2 linked regions of the Tamandua tetradactyla genome follow. The main gene of each other region encodes a partner of the protein of the gene in region 2 in a complex. Links are inferred from orthologs where the notes say so. Each region holds a gene or a part of one and is shown on either strand. Other genes may lie near its edges.

Region 1 (7,340 bases), on a different chromosome or scaffold from region 2:
CGGCTTCAAGATGCTGTGGAGCCCGTGGTCAGGGTGAAGTGGCCTGTGAAGCCCTTCCAGCTGGAGGAGGAGGATGGGGAGGGGGCAGGGCCCGGCATCGGTGCCCTGCAGTGGTGAGCCCCACCCTGCGGCAGCCTGCTGGGCTAGACGGGGGGGAGGGGTCTCCAGGCCTCTCGTCTCCCTGTAGTCTGTCCAAGAGGAGACCTTGCCAAGGTGCTGGCCCTGCCTCGCTGCCCCCACTCTGCATTGTCCCACGCTGGGCACATGGCCATCGATCCGCCGGAGGAGCACACAGTCACCCGGCATTTGTGAAGTCCCTGTCATGGGGGTGCCAGAAGTGCCATTCTTTTTATGTTAATCGTCTCTCCCTGCCTTTTGCTTCCACTCCTCCTGGAGCTGGGAGACTTGGGGAGGGGAAAAAGTTAGATCTGGGTAGCTCTTAAGTCTTAGCCTCACTTTTGGGGTTTGGTTATATTTGTTAGATAAGGCCAAGATTTAGAGAATCAGTGGGAAAATACCTTCAGATCTCCCCCAGCATGTTGGGGCCTCCCTAAGTAGGTGGTCTCTCTGCACTCAGGATTCAGTCCCTAATCTTGCAACGACTTGTACATTGTTAGGGTTTTTTTTTTTTTACGTGTCTACTTGTAAATCTTATTAAATTGGGTTCTTGAGCAGCTGTCTTCTGACTTCCCTGGCCTGTTGATCCCACAAAGGCTTTTGCATCCCTGCCTCATTCCAGGGCCACAGAGATGAGTAAGATGGGTTCGTGTCCCAGAGGAGCTGGTAGCCTTGGGAGGCAGAGGGGAGGGAACAGGCAGATTAATTTGTACATTCATTAAGCGCCTACTGTAGCGTGGGCCAGACATTGCCCAGCCCAGGTATGGGGTTGTGGTGACTCAGGAGGAACAGGGCCCCCTTCTTCAGAGAGCTCACGTTCTAGGAGGGAGATAACAGTAACAGAGATGCGAACGAGGCGATTTAAGATCTCAAGGGTGGGTCTGCTTTTGGCCACAGCACCAAGACTGTCGTTGTAAGTGTGAGCAGTCAGGGTGTATGGCTCCCGTGGCTCTACCCACAAAGTCAAGACTGCAGCAGAGACAAGATTCAACTCCTCCCACAATAATATCCATATCGTTGGAGGTTCACAGATAAAGAACATATCCCTTCCTTCCTAGTTTCTCTTGTTAAGAAAGGAAAACTTGCATAAGCTCCCAGCAGCCTGCCTCTTGTGTCTCATCAGCCGGAACCATAGCCTGTGCTCATTTCTAAACTCCTCCCGGGCATATGGAGCAGAAATGATCACTGTTTCCTTGGACCACTCAAGGGTTGTCTCGGGGACCAAGGAAGACCAATGTATGCCCTCAAGTTTATTGCCACCTGAACAAAACTGGAAGTCTCTTAGCCAGGAGAAGAGAAGGACATGGAAATGGCTACTGGGCAGGCAGACCACAGTGTCCTCCCACCAAGTGACATGAAGGAGGTGAAGGAGGGGCCAAGTCCTAGGAGAGGACCAGAGTGCGGCAGGCAGTGTTAGTGGGACAGCTAGAGAAGGCCTCACTGAGGGGCCTGCTGAGTTGGGATCTGGATCCCAGGCTGCAGAAGGGCAGAGTGCACTCTCTGCGGCTAGAGACCAGAGGAGGTGTTAAGTAGGAAGTGACAACTGACAAACTGCCTGAAGAAATTTCTCTGACTGCTGTGGAAGATGGGTTGTAGGAGGCAAGAGTGGACATCGGGGGAGTAGATAGACGCCTCCAAGGTAAAAGATGCAATGTACCAGGTTGGGTGGTAGCAGTGATGAGGCAAAGAAACGTGTGGGTTAGGGGTGCATTTTGCAGGTGGACTGCACAGACTTGGAAATTGAAGAGGTAGTGAGGAAAAGGATAGGATCAAGGCTGGCCTGTGGGTTGGGGGCTTGAGCAGCCGAGCAGATGCAGAGCAACCACCGAGATGACAGGGCACATCACTGCTTGGCCAGGTCTCTAAGGGTGTGCCCTGTGTGTAAGGATCTGGCAGGGGGAACAGGGCAGACGGTGGTGCCAGGTTTCACAGAGGGCTGATATCTCAGCCGAGTTTTCAAGACTCGGAGGGAGGAGGAGTAGAGGAGGAATTAAGTTTGAAGCAGTCCAGGCTCAGGCATCAGAAGAACCAGAATATGCATCCTGTCTCCCCTTCTTTGTGACCTTACGCAGCTCACTTCCCCTGTCTAAGCCTCATTTTCTCACCTCTAAAGCGGATTGAAAAATGCCTATCCCCATGTATCCATTAAATGAGATTGAAAAATGCCTATCCCCATGTATCCATTAAATGATTAGGTATTTTGCAGGGTTCCCCATGTGAATTTTACAGCTAACTTTCGATGAGTTCTGATGGCATTACTATCATCGTTTGGACTCCATCCTAAATAATAAGTCAAACTTGCTCCTTGGACTTTGAAACAAAAGCCTAGCTTAAAGAGTCAGGGAGTATAGTAGTTATTTGTTGCTCCATAACAAAATACCCTCAAGCTCAACAGCTTAAAACAAGTGGAAGCTTTTAGAGTAGTGCCCCACTGACAGACACAGAACCAAAACTGTTTGTGGTGATGCAGACCCACCCCCACCTGATCTGTGGTCAGGATGCAACAGCAACCACAAATAGGTGGTCCAGGAAAATCTAAGAAGAAGAGTTGGGCAACGGTTTCTTGTGCCTCACCCAGCGTGTTCGGTGCCCTCCCGTCCACCACCCGATCACTGTTTTCTCAAACTGGTTTCCCAATGGTCTGCATCTGAGTCACATGGAGGGGAGGGGACTGTAAAAAAAATGCAGATTCCTGTGCCCTGACACAGACTTTGAGAATCAGAATCTTCGGATTTAGGGCCCTAGAACCAGGATTAGGAAAAAAACAAAACAAAACAATTTTAGATTTATAGAGAAAACTGAGAATAGGACAAAGTGTTCCCACATACCCCACAGCCAGTTTCTTCTTCTAACATCTTACACTGGTGTGGTATTTTTGTTGTTTAGATTTGTTAAAATTATTGAACCAATATTGATACATAATTATTAACTCAAGTCCATACTTCATTCAGATTTCCTTAGTTTCAATCTAATGCCCTTTTTCTGTTCCAGGATCCCACATCACATTTAATACTCACGTCTCTTTAGGCTCCTCTTGGGTGTGAGTTTCTCCAAATTTCCTTGTTTGTGATGATCTTAACAGTTTTGAATACTGATCAGGTATTTTATAGAACGTGCCTCAATTGGGATTTGTTGTTTTTCATGTGATTAGACTAGGGTTGAATGTTTTGGGAAAGAAGAACCATTACATCACATCTTATCAAAGATATATACTAGCAACATGACATCACTTTGTGTTAACCTTGGTCATCACCTAGCTGATGCAGTGCTTCATTTCTCAACTGTAAAGTTACTTGCTGTCCTGTCCCGCACCCCCCCCCCCGCGTTGATAATTGAAAAGGAAGTCACTTTGTGCAGCCCACACTTAAAGAGTTGGGACTTAGGCTCCTTCTCCTTTCAGTTGGTGCATGTGGCCCTTTGATAAACCCACATCGTGTTTGTGTGATTTGTTTTTAGCACTTCCTTACTTTCGGACACTACAAAATGCTCCGCCTACGTGTACTTTCCCTCCCCCTGGTTTCTTCTATGGGAGAATGATAGTAGGAACCAAGATCTGGAGACTGAATGGGCTGTGCTCAAACCTCAATTTTAACACGTTCTCCCAACTATTGCCCTTGCAAGCAGAGTTTAGAAACCTCTGCTCTCAAAGTTACCCAGGACTAAACCAGTTCCAGCATCAGTCGGCAGAGGGCGTAAGAAGAGGCAGAAAAGTTTATTTTCCACCACATACGCGAAGAAGGATGGCGCGAGGTAACACCACTGAGGCAATACTGAGCTCTGCGCAAGGGAACTGTCAAACTCGGGCGTAGGCGTGCGCCCCGGGCTGGGGGTGGGGGGGTAGGGTTGTCACGTGAGGCCCGGCGGTCAGCTGACTAGTGCCGTAGTTTCCCAGGCAGGGCGGACCCCAGGCGAGGGCTGCTGTTGCTGATTAGCGGAGGAGGCTCCAGAGAGGCCGCACTCTCGAGCAGGTCCTTGACGCTCTGATTGGCTTAGCTCGTGTCACGTGGTGGTGTCGTACGCGTGCGCCGAAGCTGTGGACGCCGACTGGTGGTTGCGAGTCACGGGTCTTCGTGCGCCGATTAACAGGGGCGGGGCCAGCGGGGCGAGCGTCGCGCTCCACGTCGCGCTGGTTGGTCGGCGCGGGTCACATGGCGCCGGGCAGCAGGCGATACGTGCCGGTGCGACGTCAACGCAGCCTGCTGAGCTCCGCCGATCCGCCTGGCGCGGCGGGTGCTGAGTTCTCCGAGGGCCGGGCCGGGCCGTTTGCTGAGTCCCTTCGCGGCTGCCATGGACAATTCGGGGAAGGAAGCGGAGGCGGTAGCGCTGCTGGCCGAGGCGGAGCGCAAGGTGAAGAACTCGCAGTCCTTCTTCTCCGGCCTCTTTGGGTAAGAACAGGGCCGAGGGGCTGGCGGGACCTCGGCAGAGAGAACGGGAGCGCGGCCTGAGGCGGCCGGGGAGGCACGGACGACTCGGGCCGAAGGGACGGAGGGAATTCGGGATAAGAGATAAGGCCCAAGGCAGCAGAGGGGACACAGGCTGAGAGCCAGGGGGCCCCGGGCCGTGCAGCGCGGTTTGAGGGGAGGCTGAGACAGCGGAGGGAATCTCGTACGAGGGGAGACAGGCCGAGGTGACACCATCTTGAGGCGACGAAGGGGATCCAGGCTGAAGACGGGCCAAGGGATGGGAGGAAACCTTGGGCCGAAAGTCTTTAGTCTGAGGCCTGGAAGGGGGCTCGGCCTGAAGGGATTGCGGAAGCCGGGAGGGCAGCAAGGTTGAGAAGCCTTTCGGAGCGCAGGGAGAGCCTACTTGCGGGATCCCAGGCGGACGCTATGGGGCTCCGGACTGAGATCACCTGCCCTAGGGGTTAACCTTCCCCAGGCCTCCGGTAGTGGATTTCCGGGGGCCAGGTGACAGGGTGAGGGCTGGTGGAATCTGATACCAGGCCGAGGGGATCGGGGCTAAGGTGGTTTGGAGGTGATGAGTTCAAGACTGAGGTGTGTGAGGATGCCTGGGGTGAGTATGCGCCTGGTTAGTGGTGACTAATCTAAAAAGTCTTATACTTAATGGGACCTGGGTGGAGGAGGCCCAGGGGTGATGGAGTTAAGTCTGAAGGCAGGGCGGGAGATCTGGGCCAAGGGGCTGGAGATCTCTAGGTGTGAAAGAGGTAAGGGGACTGAGAAAACCAAAAGGGGGCTGAGGACACGATGTTTGATCGTTGAATAAAGATTCAGAAGGAAGATCCCTCTGGCAAACTAGGAAAGGGGCCTTAAAGATGTTGGGGGACAACTCACACCAACAGCGTGGCAGACATTTCACATAAAATTCATGTTAGCTCAGACAAATAATGCTGATGATTCTCTTTTGAGGAATCTGAGTGGTTTAGGAGTGTCACAAAGTGTGGCTTTGCTACTTCATGATGTTGGGTAAATTGTTTAACTTCCCTGTTAAAGGGGAGTGTGGGGAAATCTATCTCATTGGTTTCCTTGGAGTGTTGAATAACAATATGTGTAAAGTGCTTAACTTGAGCTTAGCACGTGGTTAAAATTCCAGAAGTGCTAGCCAGCGTTATTAACATTTCTGTGCTTAAGATTTGGAACCTGGAGAGGACTGGAGGGGATGGAGGTAGGGGCCTGAGGGGAGAGGTCTGGGAGGAGTTGAGGGGATGCGGTCTGAGAATGAAGAAGCCTTTGTGTGACAGAGCAGAAAAAAGAGCTGAAATGGTGTGGAAAAAGGGCTCAGGTCCAGGGGTATCCAATAGGGTTAAGGGGAGGGGCTTGAGGCTCTGGGCAGAGGAAGTAGAAGGGAGGGGGAAGGCTGGGGGAAGGACCTGAAAAGGTGAGCAGAAGGCTGTCTGACCTGATAGGAGGCTTGCGAAAGGGACTGTGGGTTTGTAAAGAGTTGAGAAGAACTGAAGTGGGGTGCGGGGCACAGACTCAGGATCCAGAGAGAGGCAGAGACTGGGGATGGCTGTGGGATGGAAGAATCTTCCAGAAGTCTAGATAATGGGATTTGGAGGAGGCCCCGGAAATTGGAAGAGACTGAGTTAGGAACCCAGCAGAGATTGATAAGAAATGAAGGGAAGGTGAAAGGAGCCTCCATTGTTATTTAAGATTGAATAATATTTAGCAAAACTAATTTGAAAAAGTATCTGAGCAATGATGCCTAGTGCAAAGAAACATCCAGAGCTGATGGGATTGTAGGGGAGGAATTTTGATGTTAGAGACTGAGAAGAGAGAGAAGGTATGTATGTGCTGCTGCTTCTTTCCTCCCTGAAGCTCAAGTGCCGTGTTTGATGGTGGGGCCAAGAGCTCATTTTCAGGTAGTGAGTCATTTTCCTTGTGTGGCTCTGGGTGTCTGGTCCCTTCAGACTGAAATTCAGTGTACTGTTGGGTTATGCATGGTGGGAGCAGCTCAGTCAGGCCGGTCAGAGCCCTTGAGGCACATGCAGTCTGATTGGGAAAGCAAGACGAACGCTTGCCAAATCCAGTAAAGCAAGATTGTCCGATGTAATAGAGGGCTAAATTATGTTGTGCAAGTGAAGTTCCTGAAGTGGGAGGCAACGGCATGTCCTGGAGGAAGGCTCTTTGTGAGCAAGGCCCCAAGAAACCCTAGGATTTGCTAAAGGAATGGGGGCCTGGGAGGGTGTGGTAGGTTGCAGGAATAGTGTGGGGGGTGGGGGCAAGAAAAGTCTAATATGAGGGGAGGTTCTGTCTAGAATGATGGGAACTAGGGGACCAGGAAAGTCTTGTGAAGGAGTGGCTAGCCTGGCACCATCTTGGAGGATAAGTAGGGTTCTAGTGGGGGAACAGCACTCCAGGCAGAGGGAACAGCGTGAGCAATGGCTCAGAAGTGTGAAGGGCAGTGAATGAAGGTTTAGCTACAGAGAGTTCCATATTATTAGAATGTAAGGTTAGAGCAGGGAGGCTGGAGATAGGGAAGAGGGCAAGGCCCAGTCCCAGAGTGCTTTGTGAGAAAGAGCCTGGACTTGAGTTGCTGAAGAACACTGAGGAATTTAACAGGAGTAGGATGGCTCCTGTTCAGCTTTTGGAAAGATGAGTGCAGCAGCTGGGGGGAGGAGTGATGGGGGATGGAGGAGAGTAAAGGCAGGAGGCTGTGGCGGCTGTGACAGGTGGTAGCAGATAATGTGTCCTGAGTGCTCCCTCTGAGTCAGGCCCAAGCCAGGTCCTTCAGCTGCATTATTTCATCAGTGAAGGCTTCAAGAA
Region 2 (7,103 bases):
TTCTCAATCTCTCAAATTACTTCTCTCTCTTCTGCTAATCCTTCACAACCTATACGTTTTGCTAAAGGCCAGATGCTACACAGAGAGGTGTCACCGACAGAAACATAGATCTTTCAGTTGATAAACACCACTCTGGGGTTAACATTTGGGGCTTAGGAATGTTTTTAGACAAGCTAATTAAGGGACAGCTTGTACTGGATGTGTGCATGGGTGATTGTGCGTGTTTAACAAAGTAAAAATAAAATTGTGAATTCCTGAGAGGTATCAGCATGGGGACGTTAGGTAGACTGGATATTATTTTGTAGTCTGAATCCTGTGGTGGATAATGCAGAAAATGCCAATAGAAGCAAATAAGCAGGTACCATCAGAGGGTATAGATGAATGTTCCTATCTGTTCCTGCCTCTTTTCACTGTTTTGCCCCCCAGACTTTTAAAATTTAAAATAGGAACTCCCTTGATTTTTTTTAAGTTTATCAACAATATAAATTTGAGTTCATGCTTCAGTTATGATTTTCTTTAATTTCTAAGGAAGCTATCCTAGAATTAACTCCATAATTGTGCACATCTCCTCTTCCCCCCAGCACTGTGCTTTTTGCCAGCTTCACTGCAGTCCTCCTCCACCTCCCTCTTCACCCCCATCTTCCACTTGCAAACAAACCCAGCAGTAATTACTAATATCTAAGCACGTAATTCCAGCAGCATTAGGCTTTTTATTTGATGTAACTACGCAGAAAGCTGTCTGGACATACAGCATGAAGTCAAAGCATTTTTTAATACTCCTGCCCATCTTTTCTCCCCTCTTCTCATCACTAAAAAACTGTTGTTTATTTCTTCTGCAGATTGCAGAGTTATGAACTTCTTTTACGCAGTAACACACTCAAATAAATTTCCACCCAAATAACTTTACATCCATGCATACAGGTCAACATATGCATATATGAAATATATAGTTATCCATATAAAGGAAAATCACTAGGAAATAAATAGCTGGGAGCAAAAATACCTTTTCCATGTAGATGGACATTTTAGCACCTCTAGTATACACGTGATTGGAATTATTACTGGCTAAAAACATTCCAAGATCTTAATTTGGGGCGTTTTAGAGGACCATAATGGCATTTTTTTAACGCGTCGCATATATTTTTACATATGAAACTGTTACTCTAATTTACTCAAAAAGCACAATTTTACTTGTCATTTTATGCAATCTTTATATATATCAAACAGAGAAAAAAATATTATTATGATGATTTTTGCTGGTTTAGAGGCTCCGAGCCTCAGAGTAGAAAATGGTTCAAGTACCTATCGTCGCCTTGGCAAAATCCCGCAGTGCTGCAATAGAAATTGCAGTAGAATTTTAGGCCAGAGTCCAGTTTTAGTCTAACATGGTTCTTTCACCTGCATTACCCTGAAGGGCACAATTGGATTCAACTGAGGAAGCCCAATCTTAATGTTGTCAAATCAGAAGCTTTCAGCCTGAGATAACCAATGTCCTTAGAAAATATTTACTTCCAATAACTCTAAAACCTTAACTAAAGGAGTTAAATCTATACACTCTACGACCTGTAAATATTTCTCAGAAACATAGTTTTGTGGCTGTGTGTTTGTGCTCATACATAATTACAAGAGTAGGGGGAGAAAGAGGAAGAGGGATTCATTCTTAAAGTTAATTATGCTTAGTTCAGCTATCCCCAATTTTTTGCTAAATAGAAATATATATGGAGAGATCACTCCTATAAATAGATAATGTTGACATCTTCATTTTTATCCCACTCATGCCCACCCAAGATCTGTAGGCAGTGCATTACGTGCTCTGTGTTAACATAAAAACAAACCAAATCTTGACATCCGGTAGAAAGGTAAACGCAGATTTAAGAAATGTGTTTATTTCCTACCTAAAATAAAGGGCAACAGAAGGTTTCCACAAAGTAGACTGTTATTTTTTTTAAAGCTAAGCAGGAGATCTGGAGAAAGCAGGCATTGCCTGCAAAGGAGTCCCTGCGGGCATGATTTATTTATTATTATTATTTTTTTTTTTACCTACTACGTCTGCTCTTAAATACTTCATTAGGGGTCTCTGTGAGACCAGGTTTCACAGCGGCAATCTGTCCTGCAGCCCTGGCACAGAACATCCTATCCAGGCCCCTCTGCCTCTGAAGCCGGGTCGTTGTCCGCGGTGCTGAAAGGTCACGGGCGCCGGCGCGGGCCTTTGTATCGCTGTCCAGGGTGCTGAGTGAGGGCCGTCGCAGTCCCCGAGGCCATCCCATCCCCGCCAGCTCTCCGCAGAGCCCTCCCACCCGGCACAAACCGCCCGCCTCCCGCCAGGCTGCAGTTGACGTGGGGCAGGAGGCATGAATCAAGTCTGTGGGGGCAAGGAGGCTGCTGTCGCTGCCTCAGCTCAGCTTGCCCCGGACGGGAACTCTCCCCCTTCCCCTCCTTTCGCCTCCCCAACGCCCACAACCTGCCTTTCCCTCAATTCTGCACTGGATAATAGCACGCTAAAGGCAAGTCATAATAACAGGGTTAGAAGAACAGATTTTTTTTTCTTTTCTTTTTGTCTACAGAAGCAACAACAACAACAACACAACATCAGCCTAAACACCTCTGAAAACTGCGTCGCAAAATGGAAGAGAGAAAGGGTCCCACCACAGTTTTAAAAGAGTAAGTTATTATTTGGATCGTATCCTTACGTTTCCCTCCCATCGCTCCATCCGCAGTAGCCCCATTCATCCCTTCCACAAGCAGCCCACCTCAAAAACACTTTATAAAGCCCCAGGCGGGAGTCCAGCCAGGCGCGCACACACGGAACACCGCGCCCCAGGCGCACAAATACTTGTACTGCCCAAGGCCACTAGGTCTGCCCAGCTGCGGTCCTCTTTGGGAATGCAACCTCTCAGAGTCAGCACCGGGGCCCGGGGAGGGGGCTTCTTACCTGGGCTTCCCGGGAGGGTAGTGTTCGCCGGATCCCAGCAGGTTGCGAGTGTGCAGGAGCCGCCGAGCAGGGAGGGAAGGCGAGACAGAGCCTGACCTCCCCGAGGTTTCGTCTTCAATGCAACGTGAGCTCTGCCCTCATCAAAGATGGCCGTCCCTCTTGACGTCAGCAGCTTTTAATAGCCGTCGCCTCCAGGGGCGGGAGGAAGTCTGCGGCGGGGAGGGCGGAGGGAGGGCGGAGGCTGCGGGTGGGACGCGAGCAGCCGGTAGGCGCCGAGCGCTTGACTCAGCTCCCGGTGAGCGTTACTGAAACCTTTGTATTTTAGTCCCGTACAAACTCTGAAACGGGGCTATCCTTATGGCTGCATTTTAATACACCGTCTCGGGAAAACACATTAATCTGACGACTGTTTTTCTAGTGTCATACACGTGTGTTTGTATATGTGTGCTAACATATGCATGTTGTGTGTACATGTTGCATCCTGTATGTATATTATGTCTATATATCCATGTGTGTGTGTGTGGGGGGCGGGGTGCATACTTTATTCTCCCCGCTGAGTTGAGTCATGGAAGGAGGAGGGGAAGACCGAGGAGGCGGAGAGGGAGGTGGTGGCGGCGGGGAGGGACGCTGGGGGAGCTCGATTTCAGCAGCGATTAGTTTTCCCCAAAGAAGAGGGTCCGAAGGGGCATCCCTGTCAACCCTCGCCAGCTCCATATATGGCCAGGCTACGTGGGTTACTATTTTTATGAGTGATTTGTTCATTTTATCAAAGCAGCACCCAGGGCTTGGAGTTCGTATTAATGTGGTCAGCTGGGAAGACAGACTCGCGCACGTTATTTGAACGGACGTCAGAGCAATTATCTCCCAGAGATATCAAAGGAGCTGGGGGAGAGGGGAGCGAAGGGTCGTTAACCCAACCAGCGTGGGTTTGCAAGGGCTCGAGGCTCCGAGTAGCGTTGTTTACCGAGGGCAAAACAGATGACGCTGCTTTCGCTTGAATTTGCAATCGGGTCCTGAGGTTGTGCGTTGGGTGTCTTCAGAACAGCCCTCGGAGGCACGTATAGGACCGTCCAGACTTCCGGGGGAAGGTGGAGGACTGCAGGATCCAGGGTGGGTTGGACGCGATGAAGTTCTAGTGATTCTCTCGATGCGCGAACCCTGGGTCAGAGTAGAGGCTGATTTGGGGGACTTATGATGTTCGCAACAGGACGTGGGCAAGAAACGATAGTTTTCCTGGTCATCTGAGAGATTAAAATAATAAGCATAAAGCAATAATACTTCCTCCCTTGTGCACTAGGCGACCAGGGAGAGCTGGGGTGGGGGTGGGGCGACAGGGGGTGGGTATGCAAATGGCTCCGCGGTGGCAGCCTCTCCGATGATTCACAGGTGTTGGGGAGGTTGTTGTGGGGCTCTCCGCGGGGAGGGCGAGCTGGGGAGCGCGTGGGAGGTGGGGGACTTCGGCTGAGGAACTGTTTGTACTTTTCCAGGAAGGATGCGATTAGAAGTCGTGCCTTGCAATGTTAAAACTTGATGGCCTCTTTTAGACGATGGAAAATCCTTGTCTGCTTTAGAAGAAGCCATTCAGAGCTAGGTCCCGAAAAATGACACACAATAAAACGTCCCCCACCCCAGCATACACCTACACCTACACACACACACATTCCAAGCATAAACAATTATAAGCCTTTTAATTGCACGTGTTGGAGAGAGAGACACACAAGGAGAGAGAGAGACATGCAGACCCTGCGAGAGGAGTAAAAAGAGGCGTAAAGGGACTGGTCAGAGGAAGCAAAGCTGTAAGAATTTTGAAAGAAAGCCGTTAATTTAAATGAGTAGATGTCATTGTTTCCTAAAGATTCTCTGACCAAAAAGGTATTTCAAAATATTAATCTTTGCAATAATAATTAACCAATGCTGTTTGGATTTTTATTAAAGTTGGAGTCCTAAAACAAGGCACGTTACTGAAATTTGTTTACTTAAATATTTATTAAACATTTAAGATTCTTATACAATAAAGAAGAGGAAAATCAAAATCCGTATAGTCCTTAGATAGTTAATTGCCAATAAAACTCTCCTACTTATGATTCTTAATTTCGTGGTACAGCAAGTAGGAATGGGATGGGAGAAGTGGTGACAAATGCAATGGCACTGCAAAATCTTTTATAGTTAGGATTTTTTCCAAAATGTGACACCCACAAAAAAGGCAGCATGTAGACGTTGGGGGTGGGGTAGGCAGGAGGCAGATCTGCAGTGGGGAGAAACAGAATATGTGTAGGGCTCTCAGATCAGAAGTCATTCAGGCAGCAAGTTTTGTGAAGGAATGGGGCAGGGGTGGGGGTGGGGGACAGGGTATTTTCCGGATTAAAAAAAAAAAGTAAAAAAGTAACTATGTCAGTGAGGGGAGCTTATCCTGCAGGCAGAAGCTATATGGAAGGCAACTGGGGAAGGACTGGCCATGTGTTCTGAGTTTTCAACTGCTGCTGCCCCAAGCTGACGTCTTAAAAAATTACAGATAAGATGAGAGCCAGACAGATTCAGAGCATCACAGAAAGGCACAGGCCCTACAGGATTATTTTGCAGTGGTGACAGCATTTTCCATTCCCCTCTGCTGGTGTTGAAAAGGATGCCATTTGAGAGGTTCTTCCTCTCGCTCTGGAAAAGACAGCAGAGAAACATAAATACTGGACATTTAGGTCCATTTGGAGCTAAAAATTCTACTAAGGATGAATGGATAGCCTAAAATGCATTTTGAATATGATAATGAGGTTTTCCCTTTAGGGTTTTCTCGTTGCTTGATTAAAAAAAAAACAAAGAAAAAGGAAAAAGAAAAAAAAAACATTTACAGTCATTTTTGACAGTAGGACAACCAGCAGATTCATTTTGCTCAGAGTCTATAAAAGCCTGAATAACAGAGAAGGAAGGTGATAGAAAATTTGTTCCAAAATGATTCAGCTGCCTGTGAGTTATTTCTATAACTCAAATGTAAAGTAGCTAATGCTTAGGAACTCATTCCATGAGGAAAGAGAAAATTACCTGCTCTGTAGGATGGATATTTACACTATGCTAATTCAGTCTCTGAAGGTGTTTTCTGGTACACCAGGCCCCGAGGTGTTCTGGTTTGTAATGGCTTCCGATCCAGAGTATTTAGCTTGTATTCTCTTTACTGAGGTGCAAAATTTATAGTTGACTCAAAAGTTACAACCTGGGAAGGATAATACAATATAAGATTTTATGAAATACCATATAAACCCAAAGTCAACTTGGGAGTAGTTTAGAACTAACCCAACTCAAAACCAATCCCCCCAAATTCCTCCTTGGGGTACACCTGGCACTCTGAAAAATGTATCAGATCACCCTGAGGGCATGAGACGAGGGCTTGAGAATACACAGCTTGACAGATCAACTGTTTTGATTCCTTGGTTTGCTTTTCACGTGATGTGTTTGTCACTTTCTCTTTACATATTCTTGTAGCTGTTACCCCAGTTCCTGCCCCACTCACAGCTCATGACCTAATAGTAACTTGGGAAAGCTAAAATGCCCCAGGTCTAAACTCTCCAGGCTGTGGCTGTTTCCTGGAGCCTCTGAGATAGGGACGTGTCTTGTGAGAGGTAGAAGGAGAGCCAGGGATATTGCTTTCTGTTTCTGGCTTGCCATGTTGAGGTACAATAAGTCCGCATGCTTAGAATTTTAAATACCATTTTGTCCTTTACTAAGAACAGTGTTGTGGAAAGGAGGGGAGTGGTCTCCAGTCAGAGGCCTGTTCCATAACACATCCCTCCCCCTAATTCTGAGACGCGGTCACGTGGGGAGACGTGTAACAATCACAGGCAGAAGGGAATGGGGAAATGGTAGTCAAAATTAGCAAACTTCAAAAAGGCTATTTGAAAGGGATTACAGTACTCTTTCAGCAAACCTTTTAAGCATCTTAATAATTTCCATAACTTCACTATACCTCTGTTTTATTATAGGCAAAATCAGGATAATAATTATACCCAACTTACAGGGAAAGTGCTTAGCACTTAAAATTATGTCTGGCACTTGTTGAGTACTATGAAATATTGGTTAAATAAAGTAAATCTATCAATTTGATAAGGTTTTAAATTTCTCTAATTGTTGCTATACTATGGAGGGACTGAGTTCATTAGTTGCTAACTAGATGCATATCATTTAA

Evidence for each region. The genes of interacting proteins can lie anywhere in the genome.
Region 1: the proteins of SNAP25 (region 2) and NAPA are in contact, whole or in part, in a cryo-EM structure (PDB 6MDM), measured with the Rattus norvegicus proteins. The link is inferred for Tamandua tetradactyla from reciprocal best matches to the Homo sapiens genes SNAP25 and NAPA. Residues at the interface, in NP_112253.1 of Rattus norvegicus: Glu37, Lys40, Asp41, Ile44, Arg45, Leu47, Asp51, Glu52, Glu55, Gln56, Arg59, Glu62, Gln152, Asn159, Met163, Asp166, Glu170, Thr173; in NP_542152.1 of Rattus norvegicus: Lys122, Glu155, Glu156, Ser157, Asn158, Ser159, Ser160, Asn162, Pro196, Leu197, Leu198, Tyr200, Ser201, Lys203, Asp204, Ala234, Phe235, Ser236, Arg239, Ser268, Ile269, Ser270.

The regions. Positions count from the first base shown.
Region 1 is NC_135342.1:13,632,055-13,639,394, forward strand, and holds the start of NAPA (alpha-soluble NSF attachment protein), read left to right. Parts: upstream 1-4,247; 5' UTR 4,248-4,404; coding exon 4,405-4,502; intron 4,503-7,340. Other genes in the region: ZNF541 (zinc finger protein 541), read left to right, coding at 1-117. UniProt on the Homo sapiens protein: Required for vesicular transport between the endoplasmic reticulum and the Golgi apparatus. Together with GNA12 promotes CDH5 localization to plasma membrane.
Region 2 is NC_135327.1:50,603,589-50,610,691, forward strand, and holds the start of SNAP25 (synaptosomal-associated protein 25), read right to left. Parts: upstream 3,062-7,103; 5' UTR 2,933-3,061; intron 1-2,932.